Linked DNA regions of Daphnia pulex. The protein of the gene in region 1 purifies or fractionates together with the protein of each later gene. This does not show direct contact. Links are inferred from orthologs where the notes say so. Each region holds a gene or a part of one and is shown on either strand. Other genes may lie near its edges.

The links. The genes of interacting proteins can lie anywhere in the genome.
Region 2: the proteins of syntaxin-like (region 1) and synaptosomal-associated protein 29-like purify together in Drosophila melanogaster (affinity purification with mass spectrometry; 3 studies listed by BioGRID, with this or other methods). This does not show direct contact. The link is inferred for Daphnia pulex from reciprocal best matches to the Drosophila melanogaster genes Syx1A and Snap29.
Region 3: the proteins of syntaxin-like (region 1) and synaptosomal-associated protein 25-like purify together in Drosophila melanogaster (affinity purification with western blotting; 4 studies listed by BioGRID, with this or other methods). This does not show direct contact. The link is inferred for Daphnia pulex from reciprocal best matches to the Drosophila melanogaster genes Syx1A and Snap25.

Annotation. Positions count from the first base shown.
Region 1 is NC_060028.1:8,243,177-8,247,270, forward strand, and holds the start of syntaxin-like, read right to left. Parts: upstream 2,801-4,094; 5' UTR 2,603-2,800; intron 2,543-2,602; 5' UTR 2,442-2,542; intron 1,579-2,441; 5' UTR 1,097-1,578; coding exon 1,064-1,096; intron 952-1,063; coding exon 862-951; intron 1-861. Other genes in the region: F-box only protein 47-like, read left to right, coding at 3,196-3,391, 3,461-3,594, 3,666-3,755, 3,821-3,934, 4,001-4,042.
Region 2 is NC_060025.1:1,294,250-1,297,271, reverse strand, and holds synaptosomal-associated protein 29-like, read right to left. Parts: upstream 1,806-3,022; 5' UTR 1,687-1,805; coding exon 1,366-1,686; exon of another isoform or gene 1,294-1,365; coding exon 1,192-1,293; exon of another isoform or gene 1,123-1,191; coding exon 697-1,122; 3' UTR 501-696; downstream 1-500. Other genes in the region: TBC1 domain family member 10A-like, read left to right, coding at 2,182-2,663, 2,740-2,836, 2,907-3,022.
Region 3 is NC_060020.1:8,651,190-8,655,383, forward strand, and holds the start of synaptosomal-associated protein 25-like, read left to right. Parts: upstream 1-1,394; 5' UTR 1,395-3,409; coding exon 3,410-3,562; intron 3,563-4,194. UniProt on the Drosophila melanogaster protein: May play an important role in the synaptic function of specific neuronal systems. Associates with proteins involved in vesicle docking and membrane fusion.

The sequences.
Region 1 (4,094 bases):
AAATGAGAGCACACACATATGAAATCGAATCCATCTCTCACGCAAAAAAGATCGCTGACCTCCTCTGACATTTTTCTTTCATTTTCCACACAAATAGAAAAGCGATTCCAATCGTCCATCACATGTCCAGCAGCTTTTCACGCCCGGCCGCATCTTCCGTTCGATTACCGCACGCCTAGGCTACTCTACCATGTCTTCATGCCAGTCAACCAACAAACAAAGCCCTTCCTTCTCAATGGTGGTTGTGTCCCTGTGTGTGTGCCGTTCATCATTACAACTTAGCAAACTTTTTCCCCCCCTCGTTCACGAGATTCTTTAAGTGATGGACTATTTCTTAGCTCGAGAGGGGATTGCGCAGTCGTAGATGAAAGGAAGCCTCACTCTGATGGGGTGGATATAGTTTTACTTTGAAACAAACAACGAGAGAAAGAAAGAAACAAGATTTTAATGCTCAAGACTAGAAGCCTAGTGCTTCTCTCTCTCTTCTACAGCGTTCTGCTGATGCAATTCCCCCTGCAATTCATCAGGGGCTCCTGATGCTACCGCGCCTCTTGTCATTACGCTACTATTGGCCACGCTATCAAAAGCAGACTACCAACATGAATGAGAGCCAATCGCAAACACAATTATGGCTAATGAATTCCACCCTCTGCTATCTCTCTCTCTCTCATCGGAAAAGAACACCATCAGCCAAATTGCTCCACGTTCCAACCTGAACACTCTTGTGCTATCTATTCAGGTGCATGTCCCTCATCTCTTTCGAGTCTTGTCTATGCAAATGCTCGGACCATGATTACGCTATGGCCAACTGCTGAAAGATGTAATGGGATTAAATAAACAAGTCAACGGAAGGGTAGTTACCTCTGCAAAGAAGGCCTCCATGTATCCATCCTGGGCCTCAACAGTAACGGCCACATCATCTGGCCCTGTGTCGTCATCCTCGCTTTGTGCCTGAATCGGCAGGAATGCAAAAAGAGGAGTAAATGAGTGTTGCACTACGAGGCATTAATTTCAAGCGACAAGAGCTGTGCACAACAAAGAGAACATGGTTACGTATACTCACAGCTTTGAGGGCTGCTAATCTGTCCTTGGTCATTTTGAGGGTTGGCCTACAATCCCACCGACAGCTTCAAAGAGAGAATTGCACCCAAAAAAGCACCAAATAGTTAGTGGTAGACGGCGTCGGCTACACACACGCACTGGGCTCTCACACTCTCAGACACACATACACCGAAAATCAATACTCCCTTCGGATGGCAAAGACAGACAAACTGGGCACACACACACACACAATTTCAACGAGGAAAAAGGACACGAGAACAGCTCTTTCTTCCTTCTGCAAACCAAGACACGGACACAAAATTAGCACGACAGATAATTATTGCTGAATGAATTGTGTCTTTTTCGATTCCCGATAAAAAAAAATTTCGGGGGTCTTGTGCCGGGCGTCACAGGAGAAACCGACACGGCCGTCGACAGGGCAGTGGGCGACTCGGATAGTCAGCTTTCCCTTCTCTTCTGTCAAAACCACCAATATGGCCGCACTGTCGCAACGTTGCCAACTCGACAGAAATCCACCTACAAATCCCCCAACAAAACCGAATTGATTTTATCATTCATCCTTCTCTACATCGAATTCAATCCATTAAAAAAAGAAAACTTCTCAAATATTCATTCATAATGCAGAGGGGTTTTGCCCAAGTACAGATATATAGATTTATTATGAAAGAAAAACGTATGTGACATGGAAGAGCGATTCCATTTCTAATCGTACCGAACGAACTCCCCCAGGTTCCTATGAGCAATGATACGACATGACACGTACAAATATATATCAATGATGTACCACACAACAATTTGAATGGAATTCAAGTAACGGGTTTGGCTTGATTTGTTGGTTCTGGAACGTGGCAGCGGAAACAAAATGGTGACAAAGAAACGTTGGTGGAAACGTGATGCAACAAAAAAATCCAAGTCATATTTTTCCTGTCTGCATTTTGCATACGTAATCGTTACAAGACACACAGTAAAGGTCACACCAAAATTTAATTCTATCGCCGACCGCCGTTTTCCTCTTGATCGCTTCCAACCAACAACCATATCCATACATTTCCGCCTGCCAACATCCGACGTCTATTTCATGTATCATTTCTCCACCCAGCCGAATTCTTTGATCGAACGAAGTTGTTTTTTGTGAATGCCCTTCTTGTGTTTTGTTATCTCTTCATGGTTTGTAATAATAAGCAGCACGTCATCGAATATGACTCACGACCAGCGATAATCTAAACTCCCTAGACTCTGCAACTCTGAGTGTGTGCACAAGTGCTTATCGACAAAATGATGCATTCGGCACTCCCCCCAGCCAAAAATTCATGAAAAGGACATTTTTCAGTCAAAGATTTGCAAGAAAATTGCGTGGGCTGCTTGCAAATAATAAATACCATGCGGATCGTGACTGGTCTGTCGCAGCAGGCGGTCCTTTCTACAAGGTCTACACGGGATCTTGTATAGTTACCCTGTGCACACACGAAGATTTCAGCTCCTACAGAAAATGATACAGAGCATGTTCATAAAATATTGGACTAGTTTGCAACGTTCAGACCGTGCACGATGATGTGTGTGTGACTGTGTGGGGACGGGGACTGCCAACTGATAAAAAGCCGTTTAAAGAATCTGACTGCATTCAGCTTAGCAACTCATCTTTTTGAAAAAGGTCGTACATTAAAAGCGGATGCTTTCATCTGGATTAAAATAATAATTTCACGGTGGTCTGATGGAGTCAGGGCTAGACACTTTGACTAAATGATGGAAAATTAGATACCTCGTTTTCTGGAGGTTGGAAAACCCCGCCTACTTCTTGCAGAGCCATCTGTGTTTTAGGAAAAAAGAACGAGTCTAAATAATCCAATTTATAGTCTGCACTTTGTTTTCAACAGGAAAATAAGGCTCCACGTGGTATTTATTTAAAAAAGAATGAATACTTGATAAGTTGATATTTATTTAAAAAAAAAGAATGATTAAATAAATACAAGAACTGGCAACAACGTCGATCACGTGTGCAGATTTTTGGGCGCGAATTTTAGGGTTAGGGGAAGGGATTATCGAAAACGAAAACTCATTAGTCTTTCCTCGGCTCGATGTGGTGGGCCTACCAATTTTACTCCCGAGTGCACCAACACAATTAATCTAAAGAAAATGACCGACAAGAAGCAATCAACCTCGACTAGAGGCTTTAAACATACCTTAGAGTCCATAATGTCTAAATTCGGCCACAAGAAAAGAAAAGTTATGGAAATGTCGATTGACCAACATCTGGCTCCGGACTTGAAAGATTCCCTGTTCGGCAAACTCACAGAAGACCTCATGTTCTACATTTTTCGTTGTCTTACACGTAACTATATCCCTTTTTATTAGTGTGGCAATTGTATTGATTAACTCTGTAAATACGTTGGCTATTCAGTGGATGAATTGAGTCAAATGGCAATCTCCTCCAAGGCCATGGGAAAAGTCATTTACATCTACATCATGGGAGAGGATTTCGCACAAAGAGTCGCTCGCCTATTGACTACCTCGAATCATCACATTTTTCGTCACGTAATTATCACCTAAATGAAATAACATGAATCAATTTGTGCCTCACATTTAACGTTGTTCTGAATCGACAGAGTTTCCACGTTGGTCAACTATTGAAACGCACCAGTTTCCTCTTCACCGTTGATTCCAGACTCAAATTCTTCTACCACCACATTGAAACGGTTACACAAAAACTCTCTCACGTTGCTTTAGATTGCCTATTTCAAAAAGTTGACTCCACTTGCAGGTCCAACGTTTGGTGGAAAAGAAAGAATCTGCCAACTCAATCGATACACTCCCTTTCGTTGGCGCTGTGTTGCAATCATTCATCGCCGGATGGGACGAGGGAGAATGTTTCAAGGTGCAAATTTATACGTGTGTGTGTTACAAGGAGTGGTTTTATTTTTGATTTCCTTTTTTGGCACAGGTTTTTACATTCCTGAGCGATCGTCTGTTCCTGTATCGTTCGGTATTTTATAAAACTTTCTAGTTTACTCGTTTCAAATATCTTTATACGTCTA
Region 2 (3,022 bases), on another chromosome or scaffold:
AATGTGCGGCCAATTCCCCTTTTTCCACATTTCAAGGTGCTACGTTTGCGGTTTGTATGAACTGGAACTCCGACCAATGGTCTTCTGTTGTAAAACGGAAACAGAAAACAGTCGCCAAACGAAGACAATGGCAATTTAGTGTGCGGCTAAAATCAACAAATGAACCGTAATAACAGCTGGTGCAGACATCCGCAAAGACAAGCTGGCCCATCAGGACATTGTGTGGATATGTTCTTGTCAACTAAAACAAGTTTCTCAAAACGAAAAAAAAAATTGCCATTCATACCGTCCGGCTCGTTTCGTTCTCATGATCATCGAATCGTGAAACAGGCAATAACACGATCACCACGTCCGCTCATCTTTCCACAACATCTGCAAAATTCCTTGCGGATGATTAAACACTCTCAGGAAAAAATTTTCATATACTAATAAAATACCTAGTAAACTTATCCCCAATTGAATTCATGCAAATAATCATTTTTTTCTTTCTTTTTATCAGACCGTGTTTCACCTAAATGTATTATTCCATGAATATATAATATATATACACACTGGGAGTGTGCTGGCAATTTACCTTGGTGCGCAAAAAGAGGGGGACAGATTTTCTTATTTAAAACAAAAAGAGTTTTTTTTTCTTCATTCAATTCTAATTCTTTGTGTATCACAAGTTGGAAACAACATGGACTCGTGGGGTTTTCACTTTTTCAGAAGACGTTCCATATCTTTATTTTGACGCTGGATTCTCCAGTCAGCCTTGTCGGCACCAGTCTGCAACCGATCGATCAACGTGTTCTGATCTTCCAGTTCAGTCGACAATCCCTGGGCGAGACCTTTCAGACGGGACAGGGACAAACTCATGTCACCCAGATCTTGCTCTAGCTGCTCGTCGACATTGGAAAGAGGTTTGTGACTAAAATCATTTTCAAGTCCTTTAATCCTCAATGCTGGGTGCTGTTGCTGTGATGGTGAGTCTCGGTCAATCGGTGATGATGTTTGCTCAAGTACCTTGGAAAGATTGCTACTACTACTACTGGAACTAGGCTTTAACAAAGACCCTTCAGAAGAGTTTTTGAGTGGCTCTGAAGGCTTAGAAAAGTAGTTCTTCATACTGCTAAACACACTCTAAAAATCAATGAAATCTGTGTTAAGGAAAAAACAACCAACCAATGCTATAAAATATAGATAGACTACCTTGATATTCTGTATGTGTCTCTCTGAAGTCCTCAATGAATTATTCATTTCATCCAGTCGGCTCCCAGTTCTCTCTAACTGTTCCCTCTGCCTTACCAAGTCCTGGTTGGGTATTTTCAAGGGGAAAATGAATCAAGTTTTAAGTGGTTTTCTAATGTAAGCTTATGTGCAAACCTCAGCGGTGGAGATTCCAATCTGCTCAGTCTCATACAACATTCCTTTAGCTCGCCCTGAAGCCTGCAAAGTACGTTCTTCTATTTTCTGTTTCTCCATAAGAAGTTGTCGTCTACGTTCATCGGCGCTCTGATTTTCTCCTCCGTCCAGAGGTTGGAAACTGTTATTTCCGCCCGACAAACTATTGGCTAATTTTCCTCCAAAGTTATTGAACCTATTGGGTGCCCTTTGTAGAAATTCTTCGTCGTCCACGTCGTCTTCATCGTCAAAAAATGGATTTGAACCTTTAGACTTGACGTAACGCCCACTGGATCCAGCCATAGTTTTTTCGACACTAATACACTTTTCCTTGTATGTATTATTTGTTGCTCACTCACTTTCGCATGCCCTCCGAAGCTGTCAAGGCCTTTAAAGAGACTGCCGAGAGTCGTAACCAAGGTTTGATGTCTTCCCTCTAGCGACGACAAAAGTAATGATTTAATAAAATTGTAAGTAACATAAATCAAATCAATTAAAACATATTATTATTTTTAAGTTCATTTAAAAATTTCAAAAAATAATTCTCTATTATTATTCATTCATATGAATCAGTAATATTTAATAAAATTAGCTAATTTAAGGAATGTTGCGAGGCTTCACCAGGCTGAGGGAACAGCCCACCTCTTTCTCGTCATAGCAGCCCTTCTTACTTACTTCACTTGTTTTCCCGTGATCAAAATATCTACGTGTGAAGTCACGCAACTGTCCTTAGAACGTGTCAGTATCATGAGTGCCTTATTTCCTGATAAAATAATTGCGAAATATTTGAAATAATCAATGGCCACTCGTCACGAGCCATTATCACTTCAAGTGATAACATCTCCGTTCCTTCGCAACGTCGAAACAGCCCATGATGGCAGTGCAACAACTGTGGAAAGACGTACATTTCGAAAAAGTCTTGAAAGACTTGAACGAATCAATATGATTGATTTAGAACCCTTTAGTTCTGAATCAGTCTACCGTCAGCCTTCATGTGAACAGGGTCCTAGTGGAGATAGGAAGCTAGCAAAACGACAAAACAGGCTCAGCAGAGAGATCCTTGGAGTTGATGATGCAGTGTTATCAGCTCCTGACATTGCCCAGTTCCAATCTCAGGAAAGACAGCTTCTTACAAAGAACCAATCAATGAATGGTTCCCTTAATCAAACCGATGTTGATGATGATGTCAGCAGTGTTATTTATGGTGGATCAATAGCATCAACAGTCCCCGACAGATATGGTTTCTTTGGAGGATCTCAGTTCAGTCATGACACTGAAATGTAAGTTTTATTTGTTTCCCTTGAATCCCCTATTAGTTTAACACTATTGTATTTGCTTATTTTGAATTCAATTTAGAAACCCAGCAATGATTGCCATTTTTCGCAAAAGAGAGCTGAAGTGGTTAAACATGTTAGATGATTGGGAAAAGTATATGACATACAAATACAAAAAGGTTTGGCAATATCTTTTATTTTTCTTGTCTTTCATGTTTCTATTAACACCCAATTATTTGTAATCAACAGGTAAGAGACAGGTGTAGGAAAGGAATACCCAGTTCTATCCGTCCCAGAGCGTGGCAATATTTGTGCGGCGGTGGTGTTCTAATGGAAAAGAATAAAGGCGTGTTCGACGATCTACT
Region 3 (4,194 bases), on another chromosome or scaffold:
ACAGAGTTGAAGTGTGTCTCAGTGTCGCAGTGATTATGTTGAGAGCATCATAACTATAGTCGAATTCCCGTTTTACGTCATCTCTTATTATTCTACTATTTAACGTACGAATTTCTCGCTTCTCGTTACAGGTGACTAACTCAAAAAGGAAGCGAAGATGGCGGCCGCAGTGGAAAATGGTGGTGCTCCCAAGACGGAATTGCAGGAATTGCAGATGAAATCAAACCAAGTCACCGATGAGGTAAGCCTGTCAACTCCATTCTCTAGATGAGGGCAGACGATCGTTTCACTTTCAGCCAGCCAAGTTTTCGTACGTCTAGTTCTTAACGATTGCCGTTTGACATCGGATAGCACTCGTGTCTCCGACATCCGAGAGGCGAGTGTGTGCCTGATATGTCAGGTCTGTTGATGTCGACAAGTCAACGCCATGCCCAGTTGCTGCTGGAATAGGTTAACTCGCAAATATTGACGGAAAAGTACTGAATAAAGGCTGGCCGTAACGGTATATATATTGCCAATGTCAGCAAATCAAATCCATTTATTGGAGTGAGTCAAGCCAAGAATGGAGTCTAGTTTGATGGGCTGTATGTTTTGATGTCTGAAGGCAGGGCGAAAAATGTTGCGAAATGCCCTTTTTTTATTTTTTTTATTTTGGTATTCATAAAACTGGGCCAGCCAATGTGGAAATGTCGCTGCTGCTGCGTAAAGGTGGAACTAATTCGTTGTTGGTACTTGGGGATGTTTGAGAATCTAACAGACTGAGCGCACGAGACCGTAGTTCGAAATTCGATAACTGCGTCAAACCGGATGCGCGCGGGCGCTTTGTGTGCGGCGCTGCCCCAGCGTTTTTGATCATCAAAGTCTTGTGCCTGCCCGAGCGGGCCGTTTTCGCCTCCCAGTCGCTTACCGCTTCTACTTGGTCCTCACGTCATTGTTGTGCGCGTGAACGGGCTCAACTTGATGCAACCGCGCCGCTTTACTTGACGAACACCCAGCTCTGCTCAGCTCTGCTCAGCTCTGCTCAGCTCTGCGTTTTCCATTGCATCTCGACAGATCGACCGAGCCGTTGCGAGTTGCTGTTGGTCCGCTTCCGGGAGACGGGACCGCATTTCCGGCATCTTTCATTCAGCATCTTCACAATCGCGTCAATTAGTTTAGCCCGGACCTCATTCCCGCCCGCACTCGCCCAGCCGGCCGGAGAGGAAGAGCCTCGTCGAGAACAATTTGAAGGAAGAGAAAGTCACACGGAGCGGAACACTTTTGGCGTGTGTGCGAATTATTCGTCTGCAAAGGGCGACGGAAACGGACTAGCGGTGTCATCGGACAGGTGCGCCGTTACAGAGCAGCCTGTTTCCGCCGTCCCGATCGATCCGCTCATCCCGGGTTTTTCTTTTTTTTTTCTCCCCCACTCCCCACTGGCAGAAAGCACTCTGAGCTGACCAAAAGCGGTGCTGTTTCGTTTTTCTCACCCGAGTCTCCGTCTCGACCTCCCAGTTGTCTCATCTGTAAAGCCGAAATTTGTGTCGTGACACCTGCGTTTTTTCCTTGGAACCGCCGACGACCCGAGATTTCGATTGCCCGCCATCCAGCCGAGTAACGTCTGACCCTCTTTTTGTTTGTTTTCAACGCTGTCTGTGTCAACGTATCGATCGTGAAAAACAGTAAGCAAAACAGAAAGTGAAAGTGGCGAGAAAAGTTGCTCTCCCCCTCTCCTTGTAAACTCGCTCATTGACGGACTCGCTCGATTGTCACGTATTTTTTCGACGACCGTGACGTACGTGCTCTGTCACTTCTTCTTCTTCTTCTCCTCCTCTACACCCACAGTCAACAACGGCCCCAATGTCTTCTTCATTAGTCTCTTTCTGCTGCGTCTCAGTCTTCGATCAGGTGGCAACTTATTTTCGGCGACGCTGTTGAACGATCGCTGGTGGCTGTGCTCGACCAATCTCCACATCTCTCCATTTCTTCCCGTCTCCTTTTTTGGGGTGATTGTAACCGGTCCTTTTTTGCCGTCGGACCTCCTTCCCAAGGGCAGCAACCGGAGCTTCCGACAAATCCACCACCAGCACCTAGATCAATCGTGAAACTCCATCGTCCCGGTTGGCTTCTAATTCCAGCCGAGAGCCAATAGACGACGTAACGGCGTCGCACACCCTCATCCGAACATTTGAAATCGAATCTTCCAATTGCACATCATTTACTCTCATCATATCCTATTGCATTTCTTGAGTGGTTGTTTGTTTGCCGGAAGAGATCGTTGTCGTGCCTTTTTCAGTCTATTTGAACTGGTGAAAGCATTGTGGAAGTGGAGAAACGCCGAACTACCTGGAAGTCGGATAACCCTGGAGTTCGTCAAATCTGCCCACAGGGATTGCGCGCGTTGGCTGACGTTACTTCCAACTCTCCCCCCCCCCCTTTCTCCAGTGGTTTTGTTGATGTAATTAGCGTCGCCCAAGTGCCCGTTCCTTGGCCTTTCTTTCGTTTCTTTCTTCCAACATTCATCTGACGTGTGCGCTTCTTTTATCTCTCGATCATCGGAGAGAGAGAGAGAGAGAGAGTCCCGACCGCCGTCCTATCTGTGCGTGTCGCACTCGTCTGTCGATATTTATGATGGCTATCCTCCGCGCCGAATAAGAAACTACAAGTCAAACTGGACTGCACGAGTGCTCCGACATTTTCCCCAAGTTGATAGTTTGGTCGCGTGCCGGACGTCACCGTTTCACTACAACGGACGTTTCCTGCCCTTATTTCGATTCCCAGTACTTTTTTCTTTCTTTCTCTCTCTCTTTTTCATATCCGTTCGTTGCGCGGCTCGGCGTTTTCTTCTCCGTCGTCCGACAGGAAAAGGAAGATTTTCCGAAAGTAAGAGAAAGATAGCAAGCTCGTGAGGAGTGTCGAGAAGTGGCGGAGCCTTAAGTCTGAATTTCCCCAATCGGAATGCACAACTGACGACGATTTGTGCCAAATCGACGCCAAAGGCAAAGATCGGAAATCCCGTGTGACTACCAATTTCCCAGGCCTTTTTACAAATGGTCGTCTAGAGGTGCCTGTCGTCGCCGCCGCCCGTAGGTATGGATCGCGTTACCATGGGAAACGATGACTCCGCCGACTACGTCACTGGTATCGGTATGTTAGCTGACTGCCGTCATGCACCTTCCACCATGCAACTCGTTCACTGAAATAGATACAACCAACAACCAACTACTTGAACTCCAGGAGGTAACCCAACCGCCGACATTCTATCGTGGTGGGGAGAAACAAACAAGTAAGCCGTCGCCAAAGCTATTGGGAGGCAAAGAGACGAGATAATCGTATCGTCGTCGGAGAACTTGAGCGTGTGTGTGTGTGTGTGTGTGCTGCTGCTGCTGCTGTTTATTGCGTTGTGTTCACGTCCAACCATTGTGCAATCATGGGGATCGAAACGGCGCCAGGTAACAAGAGTAAAGGCTCTTCGACGGCGGCTGCTACTGGACCCAACTCGGGCAAGAACCCACCGGCCAACCCTCCAGTTCGCCAGTTTGCCAATCAACTCCAACAAGATATCGAAGATGTTACCGTAGAGGTGAATATATCATGTATACGACCCGCTCCTCACCCAAAAAAACGAATACAACAATAAATATCATAGTTTGATACAGAGTAAGAAATGGCAGGACATTCTTCGTGCGCAATAGCGAGATTCAAGTCGATGTGTCACATAGTCTCTACTTACACGTCGGTTGGTGTCATAAGGTGACAGACAATCCATCAGTCCGTGTTAGGCGTTTTTTATTCAAAAGGTCCGAGAAAGGCTTTCAATGCTTTCAGCGGATACTTGAGCACGGAACTGAAAGAGAGATGGATAAACGCCACCGAGGCAACTGGATAGGGGGGCAGTTACAGAGAGACATATTTAGCGTCGTGCTAATCATCAGCTGTGCCCATTCGCTGCAGAAAAGATGCCGAACAGATAGAGAAACATGCAGCTGTGGACGAGTTTGTGTGTCGAAAACCCGCCTCTTAGCGTCATTTGCCAGGTTGCTGCCCCTTTTCCATTTTTAGAACACCTTCTTCTTTCTTCTTCTTCTTCTTCTTCTTGGTCTTGTTGTGACTCGGCCGGACGGCCGGAATAACCTTGTGCCGATCATCAAAGGCGCCGGTGTAGCGACGATAACGGCGCGAGACGAAAGATGCGCATGGGCAAGCACGTCAGAA